3 linked regions of the Arabidopsis thaliana genome follow. The protein of the gene in region 3 interacts with the protein of the main gene of each other region in a pairwise test. Each region holds a gene or a part of one and is shown on either strand. Other genes may lie near its edges.

Region 1 (5,300 bases), on a different chromosome or scaffold from region 3:
ATATCAAATCCAGAATCTTCTAATCGAAAGATAAAGCTAAGATTATTACCTTTTAAGTTGACTGAAACCAAACGAGGAGTGTATGTAGCAACCCCCTGTATAAATTTCCGCCACACAAATGTTGAGATTTGCAAAAACAAGTGAGATTGATCAAAGTCAACGAAATATCAATCATCTCTCACCTGCTGGGTCTCACCGGAGCGGTAGAGAACATCCATGTCGAGATTATGGTTTCTAAAGATTGGATCGCTTTCAGGGTCACTAGCCAATCCGAGCAATTCATCCTACATTTCAAGTAAAAGTTCTCAACTTTAGCAAACCCAATCGATTTATAGCAAAAAAGACAAACACTTTTGTAATGAAAAACAGAGACAGACAAAACCCAGAATCCATTGTTAAAAGAATCGGAGCAGAGAGTTCAACAGGAGGTTTTGCTTCTCTAACCTGGAAATTCCAAAAGTGAGAGCCAACAAAGTTTGCGAATTCTCCAACTTGAATCGTCACAATTTCTCTCATGGTTGTTTGATTGGAGACTTGAAAGAAACTAAGCAAAAGGTCGGTTCTTAGCTCACAGCGTAAGAGACTAAGAGCTCCGGTGATTGCTTAAACCCTCGTCGAGCCTAGATTTGTAAAAGAGTTTGAGAATGTTGATGAAGACGGAGAGGCGGCCCCGTGAGGCCCAGAGACCACAAAACCACATAAATTGACTCGAAATAACCGGGTGAATAAACCGGTTGGGTTTAGAAACTGAATCGACCGAACCAATTTGAACAAATATTCCATTGCCGCTTAAATGTCTTTAGTATATACACTCATTAATTGTGAAAAGCAGAGAGTAACTATTTGAATTTTTGAATAAAAATAACAAATTTGAAGAAAATTATGTCAAAAGATAAATATCTACCCTATACTATTGGCTAATGTATGTTACATGGTGCAAGAAGCTTTATCCACAAAACATGCAAATCTCGTGGAAGTAAACTATTCATCAAATCACTAATCAGTGAGTAGATTTTTTCTATATACATTGTCAATTCCTTCAATAGTGAAAATAAATCTTGTCGTTTTTCAGACGAAAAATCTTATCTTTTCGTACGATTTTATGCAATAAAAGATTCTTATTTTTTTTCCCCTTACTTATTCTCTCAGATTACGTAGATTTGTAGAAAACGATGAGTTACAGAAAGAGACAAAGATTGTGATGTTTCTTCATCCTCTGTTTTCGAAGGTAAAAGGTAATTAGTATGACGAGCTGGTAAAACTAAACAAATGACTCCTTCATTCACATGGTTGAGACTGTAATAAGTATAAAAACAAAATCTTTGATATATGAGTTTATCTTACTTATGAAGTAAAAAAAAAAAAAAAAAAAAAACACAGAGGATTTCGAACACTCTTCTCTATCTATTTCCTCTTGCAAAAACAAACCCTACTTTTTGCTCAAAATCCTCTTCCTTATTTCAACTCTCATGTTTACATCTACAAAAACTCCCGAACAAACTCAAAGTTTTGAGCATATATAACATAAGTTGGTAAAGATTATATCATTCACTATGCAGACTTTCAAAGCTCAAGATCCAACACTTGTCTCTTCTTCTTTGTTTCATCATTTCTACAGCTACTACGTCCATCAGACTTCTCCTCCTCTTCATCCTCCTCCTCCTCATCTTCCTCTGAGCTATGACCAACATTACTACTGAACAACCCTCTTGCAACAAGTGGGCTTTGTGGCGAATCCGACCTCGACAAACTTATTAAGCTCTGCGATTCTCTCTCTAACACACCTGGCTGATCCGACGATGACAAAGTCTTTGTCGGATGCAGCGGATGCTTACGGATATGCATTCTATATTTCTGCAATAACAATTTCATTTCACCGCACTGTCAAAATCATTCATTCATCCACACATCAAAGTTTAAGTTACTGTAAAAGATGAGAACTTTTACTTGTAAATGGCTCTTGACTTCATCATTGGTTAAACCATCAACTTTCATCAAATCTCTAATCTGCTTTGGTGTAGCAACTGTCTCACAACAACAACAACAACAACAACAACAACAATACAAAACAATCTCAGTATAATCAATCAATCAAATCTAAAGCAAAGTTTGATCCTTTACTAAGGTTAAGGACTAACCTTGTGGCCCTCCAAGCCTATGAAGAGCATCAACAAATTTACGGTGAAGTTCCTGTGACCATCTCCTTCTCTGCTCTTTCTTCTGAATGTGATGACTCTGTGAAGAAGGTTTATTGAATTGATGATGATGATGACTCTGCTCAATTCTGCTATAATCCATCATCATCTCTGATGTTGGAGTCATGAGAGACAGAGGAGCTGGTGGTGGAGGAGGTGGGGGACGGTTAAATGGCATAAATACCCCTCCTTGATTAGGGTAATTACATGTCTGAAATGGGTTCTGACTCACACACCGATCTTCTTCTTCTTCATTTGTCTGTCAAAACATGATCATAAGGTCAACAAGATCAATCACACAACATATGATTCTTCACAAAACATAAAAAGGGTTGCTTTTTGATCGTACCGATCGGAATTGGGAATTAGGGTTCGAGATCCATAACTGGGCAGAGCTCATCCAGCTCTTCTTATCAGTTTCCGGTTTTGCCCTTTCAACATCATCGAATTTCCCATTAGATGCCATCAGTGATAACCCTTTTCTAGCCTCATCCTTCAACGCCCCAATCGCTACACAGAGAAAAACAATCTCTTTAAACAAAAACACGAATCGATTAGAGAAGATAAAAAAAAGAAAAGGAGAGAATTTTAATAAAAGATACCTTCGTTCAATAAGAGCATGCATAAAGGGAGTTCTCGTTTAAAAACATCGATTTTGTTCCTTTCTTCCTCTAATTTTCCGACATAACCATCGATTTCAGACAGTTTGGAATGATTGTCTTTGATCCTCGACACTTCATCGAGAAATTGAGATAAGGGTTTTGGTAAAGAGTAGATAGACAAATTCAGATTAAGACCCATCCTTTGATCGGTTTCTGTTTGAACCATCGGACAAGATAAAGACAAAGAGAAGCAAGCTTAAAGAGGTATATATAGAAGAAGATGATGAAGATGCTGAAGAAGATAAATGAGAACAAAAAAAAAATGAGATTAGGGAAGAAGAAGAAGGACGCGGTGAACCGTAGCCGCTGTAAATAAGTGGAGACTTGAGGGTGTTTTTGTCAATATTAAAATTAGATTTATCTTTAAATGGAAGAAAGAATCTTTTTGTGATGCCCGTACACACGCGGCGAATCGTTACACTCACTTATATATATTTATTCTTCTCTTTTTTTATATTTTTCTTTAAGGATTTTTTTCCTTTTAATTCGGCTATTAATTATATTACAATTTTCAGTTTTGGGAAACTTGTTATTTATTTTGTTTTTAGTGCTCTTCTCATTCAAGATTCTCATATTCCTGTTATCCTGTATTTAATATTTTCCCAAATTAGTCTTAAAAAGAGGATTCTGAAGAATCTATAATATTTTACAAACACTATTTTCTGCATATGGAGTGGTTCAGGCTGTGAAATATCCCACTAAAATATTTATTAAAGATAATATAAAAAGAATCTGTTGAAAGACTAAAAATAAAATAAAGCAACTCAATTATTGGATAAAAAATTAAAAATAAGGAATTAACAAAATCAAACTATAACTAAGAAAGATCAAATTTATTTGTACAAAATTAACAATTTTCTACTTTTTTAAAGAAAAATCAAATTTTATTTTCCTACTTTAACAATTAAAAGTAGATAAGTTACACTTTTTTGGAGTAAAAAATTACGTTTGAAATAAAGAAGATTTAGACTACAACAAATATTGACTTTTTATAACCTAAATGTTATGAGCTTGAAAGTTATACATTTATAGTCAACATGATATGAGATTAAATGTTGAATATAAAAAAGGTATGTACCACATAGTACATGTAGCACATCGTCAGAAATAACTTTGCTAGACCAACAATACCGAATGGGCATAACCGTGTATGGCCTATGGGCTATGGATTCATGTATTTGTTATTGTATCTCAAACACAGAGCTATACTGAAATCTCGGTTTCATGGAATTCGAACCACTCGTTTAAAAACCGATAAAACATTCAAACTATACAATCGGGTTTAATTAAACGATGTTCTTAGATAGGCAAAACCACATGTACGTTTATGCAAGTAGTACGATACATAAATTCGTACTTCAGTTTGTACTACTATCATATAACTAGACTAAATTAGTAGAGCCGTATAAATAATTAATCTTTACTAGTATAGGACATATTCGCTTTAGTTTATCTTTTCGAATAGAAAAATTATACTAAATTTTGCTAAATTTTACTAAAAAATTATACTAAACATTTTACCCGGAAAAAAATTATACTAAATTTTGCTAACACAAGCTACTAGCTGTATTAGAAATCGACACATACGTATGTGATTTTAAAAGAGTGAAGTGGTCAAAAGATCTCTTTGTCTTTTCTTTATTTTTACCACACGCAACGTCCATTTACATTCACGGTGAGCATTAGTTTCAAGAAATCACGTAACCTTTGTGTTTATAAGTGCCCTTTTCATGGTTTAGTTGGTTTTGGTTATCGTATTATGAATATTTTTGTTCATTTCAGTGTTGATATTCTTTTCAAGAAACTAGGTTGATCATTCTTATGTAGCACCATTATTTCTTGCAAATTATTCCACTACTCATCCATTTTTTTTACTAATCAAAACTTATATCGTTCAAAAGGTGAATTATACTTAATATTATTATATGAAATAAAACTCAAGAATTCTCTAGCAAAATGAGAAAAAAGGATCTTTCGCATAATCCAATGTAAAAGATCCCAGTACGCAAAGCTACTTTATTCCATGCTTTTTCCTGCTAGCCAAATACAAATTTCTTTCAATTTTAAAATAGCATTCAATTTTTTCAAAATAACATTTGATTCCTCTAACAAAAAGATATTCCGAAACACAGTAGCATGTAAAATGCCTAGGACCTATAAACAATAAAGACCACAAGGAATCTAACGGACGGACCAAAAGAAACGGCTCACTGTTAGCCAACTATACCAGGACACGTGTCCAACTAATCCAGATTCTTTATCATGAGAATCGTTTTTTTCTTTCAAGGAGGAACTGAAACGTCTCGACTTTGTTTGTAATAAAGACGTCGAGATTTTGATGCCGTTGATTGATTAGATTCTCGATCGTGGGTTCGCGACACGTGTCCCTAACTTTTTTTGTATTATTGTTCTTAACAAACGATGGCTTTTGCTCTGTCTAGCT
Region 2 (5,282 bases), on a different chromosome or scaffold from region 3:
CAAGATTACAGGACGCAAATGGATTCATGTTGATCCAACAGGTGGTCATGTTCTTCACCCTATCTACACAAAAGCTGCAGCTGCTCAATCGACTAAGTTGAAGACAGCTTCATAGTCGTGAATACTGATTGCAACAATCTAAACGTGGTTTTCATTTCCTTTAGATCATGTGATCTCTCGAGTAAAAGATGATGCTATCTTAGAGCAGAACCACTCAATTCAATAACATCTGCTGTTTTGTTTCCCTCTAGTCTTTGTCTGGATTTTGATGAAGGGCTTTGTTTGGATTCAACAAATCAAGTTTTATTCGGAAATAGATGTTAATCAAGTCTGAGTTTCTCTCATATGTGTTACGCAAAACAGACAAGTAACAGTCTGAGATAATGTTTTCCCGGCCCGTTATAAACTCATCGAATAATGGGCCAACATTCTAAGCCTCAGGCTCTGGCCCGTCAACGCGGCTAGATCCGTTCATTGAATCAGAAACATATTTATCCTATCGGGTTTAAAATTTCAATTAAAATTTCAAACATAAATTTCTCTCATATTATCATATATGGACGAACCAGCTTTGTTTTTGGCATAATGTGAAATCAAGAGCCAACTTGTTTTAGCCATTAAAGTTTCCTCAAATACTTCTCAAGTTGCCATGCACATCAATATTTAGTTTTTGAATTATTATTTTCTTGTAATTTTACACATTCCTATTCAAAAACAATACAATTAAAATAAAATCATTTCGTTTATAACACAAAAAAAGGAAGAAGAAGATGTCATTGTTTTTTTCTTTATTCACAAATCTTAAGAACAGTCCATATTAATGCATACTAACCACCCATGCGATACATTCATCGTATATGATAAATCCTTCCAATTGCATTTGCACACATACATAAAGTAGGATATGTGTATATATAAAACATATACAGGCATAACATATAATAGATTTTAGAAAGAAAGAAAAAATCACAGATAGATCATCAAATAATTGCGTCAGATAATATATCCTGAAAAAAAAAAACTAATTAATATTATCCTTGTTATGGGCATAAAGCTTATTTAATGTCGGTTTGCCTTATTCTTCCTAACTAAAGAGTAAAAAGCCTTATAACTATTTCTAAAACAATAATATATGTGTTATATTATTTTGTTGTCTATGAAATCTATAGATAATCGTAGTGCGGTAACAATAAGACCAATCAACAATCAAGTTATATCTAAATGCTTGAAATGTTGATACGGTGGTTCCCTATTTTGGCTATGGTAAGTCGTGCAAGTCGTAATATATACCTACATTAATTAAAGTATAATGTTAAAGTTCAATGTATTTGAGAAGAAGAGAATTGTCTTCCATAACAGACGAACATGGTTTGATTAGGTAGCGCCATGTTGCAAGATATGTACGCGTGTTAGCTGTTTTTGGTATTTAGACAATTTCATATCATCATTAGTCAAAAGAAAGAAAAAGTTTTAAGAGTTGAGATTTACAATTACGTTACTACTATAAGAAAACAGACGACATTTTAGAAACCCGTTAAAATTCAAAATTTTGACGGAGAATTCAACCGTTGGATTTAGAGCATCAAAATTAAAACTTCCATAAAATTTGTCTGAATTTTTTGATAAAATTTATCGGTCATATTTTAGCAAATCTCCTAAAAAAATTGGTATACTATCAATTATTTATGGAGTTTTTGCTTTGAATTGTTAGTTTATCACTTATTATTAGTAATGGATTTGCAAACGATCTTAGGTTTGGTCTACACCTCTCTGATTAAAGACTTTTTTATACAGCTTTAAAGAAGTTTGGAGTAAACGGCATCGTTCTTCACCACTGCTCGTGTCAGCTTTTTTAGTTGTGGTCTCCTTTTCTTAAGGCCACTTTAACCGTCAACATGTATAGTCAATAAACATTTTTGAGTTAATTAGTGGAGTAGTTGAGAAGTAAATAAATTAAGCTAGTCATAGTTTTTTTTGCAAAAATTTGGTAGTAGAGTAACTTTTAAGATTGTAAGTTGATAGTTTTTTCGACATAAGATTGAAGACAAACCATGAACTATAAAACTAGGGAAGGTCGAGATTTTAACATTTTTGGATAAACATTGCTTTTGATCAACAATACGAAATATTAACTTTTGTCTTTAGTTAACATCATTGAATCAACAACCCGAATCAACCTTAATTATATTCATGCTTTACTTCCACACGAAATTTTCAGCTTAAATAAGGAGAAAAAAAAATAAAAAAAAATAACGAGAAATAATAATAATTGAAATTTGAAAGGTAGCAAAAAAGATTAATATTGATATAAAATTGGAGTATATATTATTAAAGTTGTCAACGTCATGGAGATACAAATTTAGCAAAAAGAAAAAGACATGACTCACATTAGATGCTGTTCTATGAACTCTATTTATTAGCCTATATTTATTACACTTATCTTTTTTCATTAACCCTAGATGGGGTCAACAAACCATGGTTAAAAAAAAATATTCAACCAAAAAAAAAAAAACACATAATGATTATGAATCTCAACCACACAACTTGGATTTCTCATTATCAACAGTCTTCAACTTCTCATCTCTTTCTTCCTCCATGAGAGACTTGAGTAAATAATACATAGTTTTAAATTTCCCCTTTTCTAATCTTATCTCTCCCAAATACATAAACCCATCCCAAAGATTTCGAGTTTACAATTTAAAAACAGTTTTGTTTAGTGCAATCTTTACCTTATCTTTACTTCTATCATCTATTCTTCTTCTTCCTCCATCTCTAGAAAATTATAATACTTCTTGTTTCTTAAATCTTATTTGTATTACAATAACCAAAACCCAAGTTTACAAAACATTTCTTCTTCTTGTTTTTCGAAACCCTAAATGTTTTGAGTTGTCATGGATGTAATAGCTACTACAACTACTATAGTATCCGACTTGGATTCACGACAACCCGAAATCGAAGCTCCGATCCGGATCCAGCCCGCGAAGCCTATTTCTTTCTCAAACGGCAAACGCTGCCACCACCATCATCTTGCATCTGAAGCGGTTGCGGTTGCGACTTATAAAGAATGTCTAAAGAATCACGCAGCAGGTATCGGCGGTCACGCTTTAGACGGATGCGGCGAGTTTATGCCGTCACCGTCGTTTAACTCCAATGACCCCGCTTCACTAACGTGCGCTGCTTGTGGTTGCCACCGTAACTTCCACCGCCGTGAGGAGGATCCATCTTCTCTCTCTGCCATCGTCCCTGCGATCGAATTTCGACCTCACAACCGTCACCAGCTTCCTCCACCGCCTCCTCCTCATCTGGCGGGGATTCGTAGTCCAGACGACGATGATTCAGCTTCTCCACCGCCGATCTCGTCTTCTTACATGCTTCTCGCACTCTCTGGAGGAAGAGGAGGAGCTAACACGGCGGTTCCAATGTCTAGGAAACGTTTTAGGACGAAGTTTAGTCAGTATCAGAAGGAGAAGATGTTCGAGTTCTCGGAGAGAGTTGGGTGGAGGATGCCGAAAGCTGATGACGTGGTGGTTAAGGAGTTTTGTCGGGAGATTGGAGTTGATAAAAGCGTTTTCAAAGTGTGGATGCATAACAACAAGATTTCAGGACGCAGCGGCGCTAGAAGAGCTAACGGCGGAGTAGTAGTAGGAGGAGTAGGAGATAGTCGTCAGAGTGTTGTTCCGACAAATGGGTCGTTTTCTTCGACGTGAGGAAAAGAATGGAAAGCGTTGAAAAAGCGTCGTCGTTTTAGAGGCTAATTCTTTTTTGGTTTTTCTTCTCTGTGTTTTGAAGATTTTTTATTTTTAGTCAACGGGTCAAAATCTTTTTTCTATTCCACTTTGTTTTGTTATGTCTTGTAGTTTGTACTCTTGTTAGTAGTTTATCTTTGTTAGAGAGGTGATTTGAGTTGTATCTTTCGACCAAATGTGAGAAGAAAGATAAATGAGTAACCTCCTAAAACCGAATAACAAAGTCAATTAATCCAATTGTTTTCTAAATTCTATATCAGTTTGCTTTTTTATTTTTACTTTTTTTCTTTATATAGAAATTTATGAAAGAAATGAGGGAATTTGTTGCAATTATGTGACATTACTAGATTTTTAACCCGCGGTATACCGCAAGGACAATTTTTTTTTTTTTAAGTTAGTATATATAAAAGTTTACAAATTGTATCTATCTATAAAATATTTTTATTTTATAGTTTACAATTGTTATTAAGTAAAAAAAACTATTTATTTTATTAATGTTGATCTTATTTATGATATGTTTATAAATCATTGTCTAAATATTTTGTAATTTTGTAATAATTAACTGCTATAAAATATCTATGTGGGTTGATGCGTATAATGGAATTGTTATAGTCATGCAAAAAAAGCAATATCAAAAATGATAATTTTGTAATTTTTAAATGATGTTAAATATTTTAGAAGTTTTATTTTAGTAACTAATCGTGTAGTTATTGTAGAGAGATTTTGAGAAGATAGTTAAATGTCAAATATTTAATTCGAAAATTTACTTTCTAATTATCAAAAATAATTATTAAATGCCAGTGACAACCACTGTAAATAAGTCTCAACTTGAAGATTTATTTCATATAGTGGCTGCAAAAATGTATATGTAGATAACTCAAAAACATGAAAACACAGTTACTATTTTGTGTGTTTATTTTCGATGCTAGTAGTTAACACCTGTTTGTTTATTTGTTGAAATGGTAAAAGATACAACTAAGAGTTGGTAAGATTAGGCACTACGTTAGGTTAATATGATTGGAGACACCACTCACTTATAATATATTCTTGCTGTTCTATTAAGGCAAGACTGGTAAAACATCTCAACAAAATATTGCAATTATTTGTTTTTACGATATAATCTTTTTTTTTTCATCAACTTTTTTAATGATATAATCTAAATGCCAAAAGACATGTAAAATGACATTTTTTTTTTTGTTCAAATGACATTTCTAGGTACCACTATTCAGTGCATAAAAATAATTTTATGATTAAGAAAATAAATTCGAGCCCAAGCGCAAGACTCAAAAATAAATCGACATCTCAAAACGGGCCCAATATAAAGCCATAATTCGTAAAGGCCCAATATAAAGCCTTAATTCGTAAAGGCCCAATAAAGAAAGTGAGAGTGTAGCGTTAGGGTTTTAAGAAATCCTATAAATTAGTTCATTCGTCTCTTTCGTTCCTCTCTGCGTGCCCTAGTTATTCAGATCGCCGAATTTGCAGTAAGGAGACGAAAATATGGTGCACGTTTGCTACTACCGCAACTGTAAGCTT
Region 3 (4,801 bases):
CAAGCAAGCAAAGCATTTTTCTTATTTTATATTTTGTTGCGGATTCCACCACCCACTTGAAAAATTGACATGTCACAATGATTTCGTATCCTAGTCTTTTATTATTTAACACTCTCACAATCCCATTACTCTACACCTCTTTCATTAAGTCAACACACGGTTTTCAAAAATCCACTACCCTCCCACCACCTAGAATCTTTTGTTACCTACCAACACCCTCCTTTGTTCTCTTTATATATTGGTCCAACTAAATCAATAAGGGAAAGCATCCTTTTGGTTGGAGGAATTGCTTTCATTCTCACTCTTTGTGTGTTGATCAATGGACTAGCTAATAACAAGTTCCTCCTCTATATATTTCAAAAGAATGGAACAGAAACATAAACGAAAGACAGAGTACCTGATGTTGATGATTCATTGTCTGTCTGGAGCTCCCAAATGCCTTTTATGCTTACATATTCATAACCAACAACGGCTATTAATTATAAACCAAAAACACGAAATAAGTTTGTAGCAAAGTGAAATTAGGAATCTTGGAGATGGATCCATTAGTAGTAGGATAATAGGATATGATGGAATTTGGTTGGGGAACAGTGATAACTTACGCTTGCTTCCGGCGCCGGGAAAGTTGGAAAACCTACAAAGTACAGAAATGGATCTGGGCCTTGAAGTGGGCTTTTTATTAAAGAAAAAAATACATCTCCGTTATCAATCACCATCTTCTTCTATCTACAAATTAAAGAAGGTAACAACAGAACGTGGTGGATCATGTGGTTAGGCATTAATTATTTGCTTTGTTTCGCCGTTTTGGTAACACACAGACACAGTTCCGGTAAGAGCTTTTGCAGCCACTCTTTATAGTTATTTAGAATTGGCGATCGAATCAATCTCACTCCCTCCCTCCCTTAAGTCTTGTTGAATCTGCTGAATTGTTTTATAAAGAGTTACTTTGGCAAAATGGAAAATCCGGCGAAGAGAGTGTTGATGACATCCAACGGCGACGAGGTGTCCCGAAACATCGCTTTCCATCTAGCCAAACACGGTTGCAAGTGAGTCTCTCATTTTGTCTTCTTTCCTCCTATCCTGTGTTTCTTCTTCTAGCCCCGATTTGTGTTGTGGTTGACTTTGGTGTCTATAGTTAACCTTCAAAAAATGCAATGTACTGTTGCTAGGTTGGTAATGATGGGAAATGAGGGTTCCCTAAGGAGCATTGTAGACAAGATTAGAGATTCCATTGAGGGAGCCTTCCCTGCCGATGTTATAGCACTCGACATGGAATCTGACTCTGAAGTTGCTTTTCATGCCGCTGTCCAAAAGGCATGGGAACTTTCCGGCCATTTCGATGCTTTTCTCAACTCTTATACCTACCAAGGTTTAATTTGCTTCTTGTTTTTCACTACCCTGCCTTTGATGCTCTTGTGTGTTGATCATTCCTTTATTCAACAATCTTTCTTTCTTGCAGGAAAGGTGCAGGACATTCTTCAAGTCTCTCAAGATGAGTTCCACAGAATCACAAAGATCAATCTCACCGCTCCATGGTTTCTCTTGAAGGCTGTAGCCACAAGGATGAAGGACCATGGATCAGGAGGCTCCATTGTCTTCATGGCCACTATCGCCAGCGGAGAGAGGGCGCTTTACCCTGGCGCTGATGCCTACGCTTCAACTTCTGCCGCTATTCACCAGCTCGTCCGGGTATGCATCCTAGCTCCTAATTAGACACATCGCGTTCGTAACTTGAATATGTTTGTTGATGATTGGGTTTCAGGCATCAGCCATGAGTCTCGGGAAGCACAAGATACGGGTCAACATGATCTCTAGAGGGCTGCATCTGGATGATGAGTATACAGCTTCTGTGGGAAGAGACCGAGCGCAGAAGCTGGTCAAGGACGCTGCACCCCTCGGCCAGTGGCTCAACCCGGACACAGACCTCTACTCCACTGTTATCTACTTGATCAGCGATGGCTCACGCTTCATGACAGGCACCACTGTCTTGGTGGATGGAGCGCAGTCCCTTACGCGACCCCGTCTCAAATCCTACATGTGATCAATGCCTAGTATTATTATAATTCTATGTTGTGTGTAAAAAGTGAATATGAATCAAGTTTGAATAACTATGGAGGGATGAATAATCCATGGAATCAATGATTATATACTTTTGACAAGTATAGAAGAAAGCAAAGAGCCAAAATAGTCAACAATCTCAACATCATTCGAGCTCATTGTTTATTGAATTCAATCAAGTTTGGTAGGTGAACCTCAAATACACGTGATATTGGATATTATCTTGGAAACCTTGCTAATCCAAATTGTAAATCAAATAAGAAAAGAATGATTACCTCAGAGATCTAGATGCATATTGATTCTTGACCAAGAAATATGTTTGAAATTTGAATCCATTGAACCAAAATTTGAAGGAGTTGCATATATAATAATATAAATCAGAATGATGTAGCCGCCACACCTTTTTGTTTCCACAAAACTCTTTTTCTGTGATGGATCCGCTAATGTAGCCATATTTTCAATATATATCACTTTCTCTGGCATCTTCGCTACCGTGTACGTCTCTCTTTCTCTCCCTCCCCTCCTTGGCTTTTTTCAAGTTCCCACCATAAACGCAGAGGGAGTTAAGAAATGGAGGATAGGAGGTGTGATGTGTTGTTTCCATGTTCATCATCGGTTGATCCTCGCTTGACAGAGTTTCATGGGGTCGACAACTCTGCTCAGCCGACAACATCATCCGAAGAGAAGCCAAGGAGTAAGAAGAAGAAGAAAGAGAGAGAAGCGAGGTACGCGTTCCAGACAAGAAGCCAGGTTGATATACTGGATGATGGATACAGGTGGAGGAAGTACGGCCAAAAAGCAGTCAAGAACAATCCATTCCCCAGGTACGTACTTAATCATCAATGAATGATACTGTATGCTTGCTATGGTGATCAAATAAGAGACTCATATACATACATGTAAAATATGAATATATATATATATAGGAGCTATTATAAGTGCACAGAAGAAGGATGCAGAGTGAAGAAGCAAGTGCAGAGGCAATGGGGAGACGAAGGAGTGGTGGTGACGACATACCAAGGTGTTCATACACATGCCGTTGATAAACCCTCTGATAATTTCCACCACATCTTGACACAAATGCACATCTTCCCTCCCTTTTGCTTGAAGGAATGATTAGAGGAATTGGATTGTAATATTTACTTTCCCAAAAACGTTGGGCTCACACCATCAGACCTTTACTTTTAAACTAGCAGCAACTCACATATCTCAAAAATACTAATCCTTATCTTTGTCTTTATGGGACCTTTGAATCCATCTGCTTTGGTGTCTTAGTCTCGGCTGCCCTGTAATCGAAAGTATATTCATCATCAAATTACCAAACATAAAGAAGCAATGATGAGTCTATCATCTACAAAAACAATGTTATGTATCCCAAACCTACCGATTATTCCAAAACTAGTGACAAGCTAAGGATATTGTGGAGATGAAGATGAGAAAGAGTACGAAAGCTAACTTTGAGGTTTCTTCTTGGATCCAATTGCGAATATGCTTCACGTTTCGCTTTAGAACGGAGGACGCTTTCTTTGTTAGGCCCATTAGCCTGGGCTCTCGTGTTTTTCATAATGTCAAGTCAGCCCAACAAGCCCAAATCTTTACAAAAAGAACCAAGGACCATGTCATCCGGAATATGGTGATATTATTGGATTATACCATTGGACCATTTAACACAAAAGCAAATATGCAACAGAATATATATAGATCACATAACAGTCAGAATCTTCTCAAAAGATATGCTTTCTTCCTTTTCTATTCTAGAGTGTTTTGATGACATCGGCACGAAGATAATGTTATTTTACAGATTTAGCTAATTAAGTCTTTCGTAATAATTATCAAACTCAAATTGTTGCGTTTTAATTTACCGCCGCCACAATACCGCACGAAGATAATGTTATTCGCTTGTGAATTTCTTTATATTAATCTCTCACGAATAAATTAATTCACATTCTTACATAAATCGAAACTTATCCACATTTTCTTGATTCTTTTCAAAAGTTATACGAAAAAGTTAGTTACACAAAATTTATTAAACACGGATAAAATAACGGTTCCTTAATCTCAACACTTTCACTTTTTTCCGAACCCATTGAATGGAAAAATGTTATGTTCTTTTTTTATATAGCAATTGGGAAAATATGTTTTGCAATGAGAAATTGTAGAGTTTGCGGCTTTGCGCCATCCATTATTTCATATAGAACTTAGAGAATAATATATCTATTAATTGAACTACAAGATATATCTTATAAATTTTCTCCGAGATATTTCTCATAAATCGTCCGTATCATCTGTCTACCGCGGAAGATAGATAATTAAGGAGCGTAAATATAGTGCGTAAGGATTGAACCCTGTACTGTATAATTACACATATATCATATATTTTAAATTGTAAAATGAGATGTGTCGTCGTGGCTGTTTGAGCCTGAAAGTTGAGATCTCGTCATCAACATGTTATGCTTCTGAGTGATATTATTGCAAGACGAAGGACCACGCGTCTTTGATATCTCTATCTCCCTGCATGTATTCGTCACAACATAACGAAACCCTCCCATATATATCTACGCAACAACACACTATGTTTGAATGCATGAAACACCAGCTACAGGTAGATCTCGATCGGGAAAGAAAAAAAGAGTTGTAATATCATGGAGATGAACAGAAGGAGATCAAGAGGGTTCATGATAGCTAAGCTAATGCCCTTTTGCAAAGCTGTGAAATCTCCAACTCCTTCCCAAGACCTTTATAA

Evidence for each region. Proteins that work in one complex are often made in the same cells at the same time.
Region 1: the proteins of WRKY45 (region 3) and AT4G37180 interact in a two-hybrid assay, tested with the Arabidopsis thaliana proteins (one large-scale study listed by BioGRID).
Region 2: the proteins of WRKY45 (region 3) and HB30 interact in a two-hybrid assay, tested with the Arabidopsis thaliana proteins (one large-scale study listed by BioGRID).

The regions. Positions count from the first base shown.
Region 1 is NC_003075.7:17,502,371-17,507,670, reverse strand, and holds AT4G37180 (Homeodomain-like superfamily protein), read right to left. Parts: upstream 3,108-5,300; 5' UTR 3,024-3,107; coding exon 2,798-3,023; intron 2,727-2,797; coding exon 2,545-2,726; intron 2,455-2,544; coding exon 2,139-2,454; intron 2,025-2,138; coding exon 1,948-2,024; coding exon of another isoform or gene 1,891-1,947; exon of another isoform or gene 1,855-1,890; coding exon 1,564-1,854; 3' UTR 1,167-1,563; downstream 1-1,166. Other genes in the region: AT4G37190 (plasma membrane, autoregulation-binding site, misato segment II, myosin-like, tubulin/FtsZ protein), read right to left, coding at 50-95, 183-284, 445-516.
Region 2 is NC_003076.8:4,936,299-4,941,580, reverse strand, and holds HB30 (homeobox protein 30), read left to right. Parts: upstream 1-2,373; 5' UTR 2,374-2,891; coding exon 2,892-3,707; 3' UTR 3,708-4,116; downstream 4,117-5,282. Other genes in the region: AT5G15220 (Ribosomal protein L27 family protein), read left to right, coding at 1-115; AT5G15200 (Ribosomal protein S4), read left to right, coding at 5,247-5,274. UniProt on the Arabidopsis thaliana protein: Putative transcription factor.
Region 3 is NC_003074.8:324,987-329,787, reverse strand, and holds WRKY45 (WRKY DNA-binding protein 45), read left to right. Parts: upstream 1-2,375; 5' UTR 2,376-2,628; coding exon 2,629-2,882; intron 2,883-2,984; coding exon 2,985-3,174; 3' UTR 3,175-3,836; downstream 3,837-4,801. Other genes in the region: AT3G01980 (NAD(P)-binding Rossmann-fold superfamily protein), read left to right, coding at 955-1,046, 1,170-1,689, 1,763-2,041; AT3G01961 (uncharacterized protein), read right to left, coding at 4,437-4,607; AT3G01960 (uncharacterized protein), read left to right, coding at 4,701-4,801. UniProt on the Arabidopsis thaliana protein: Transcription factor. Interacts specifically with the W box (5'-(T)TGAC[CT]-3'), a frequently occurring elicitor-responsive cis-acting element.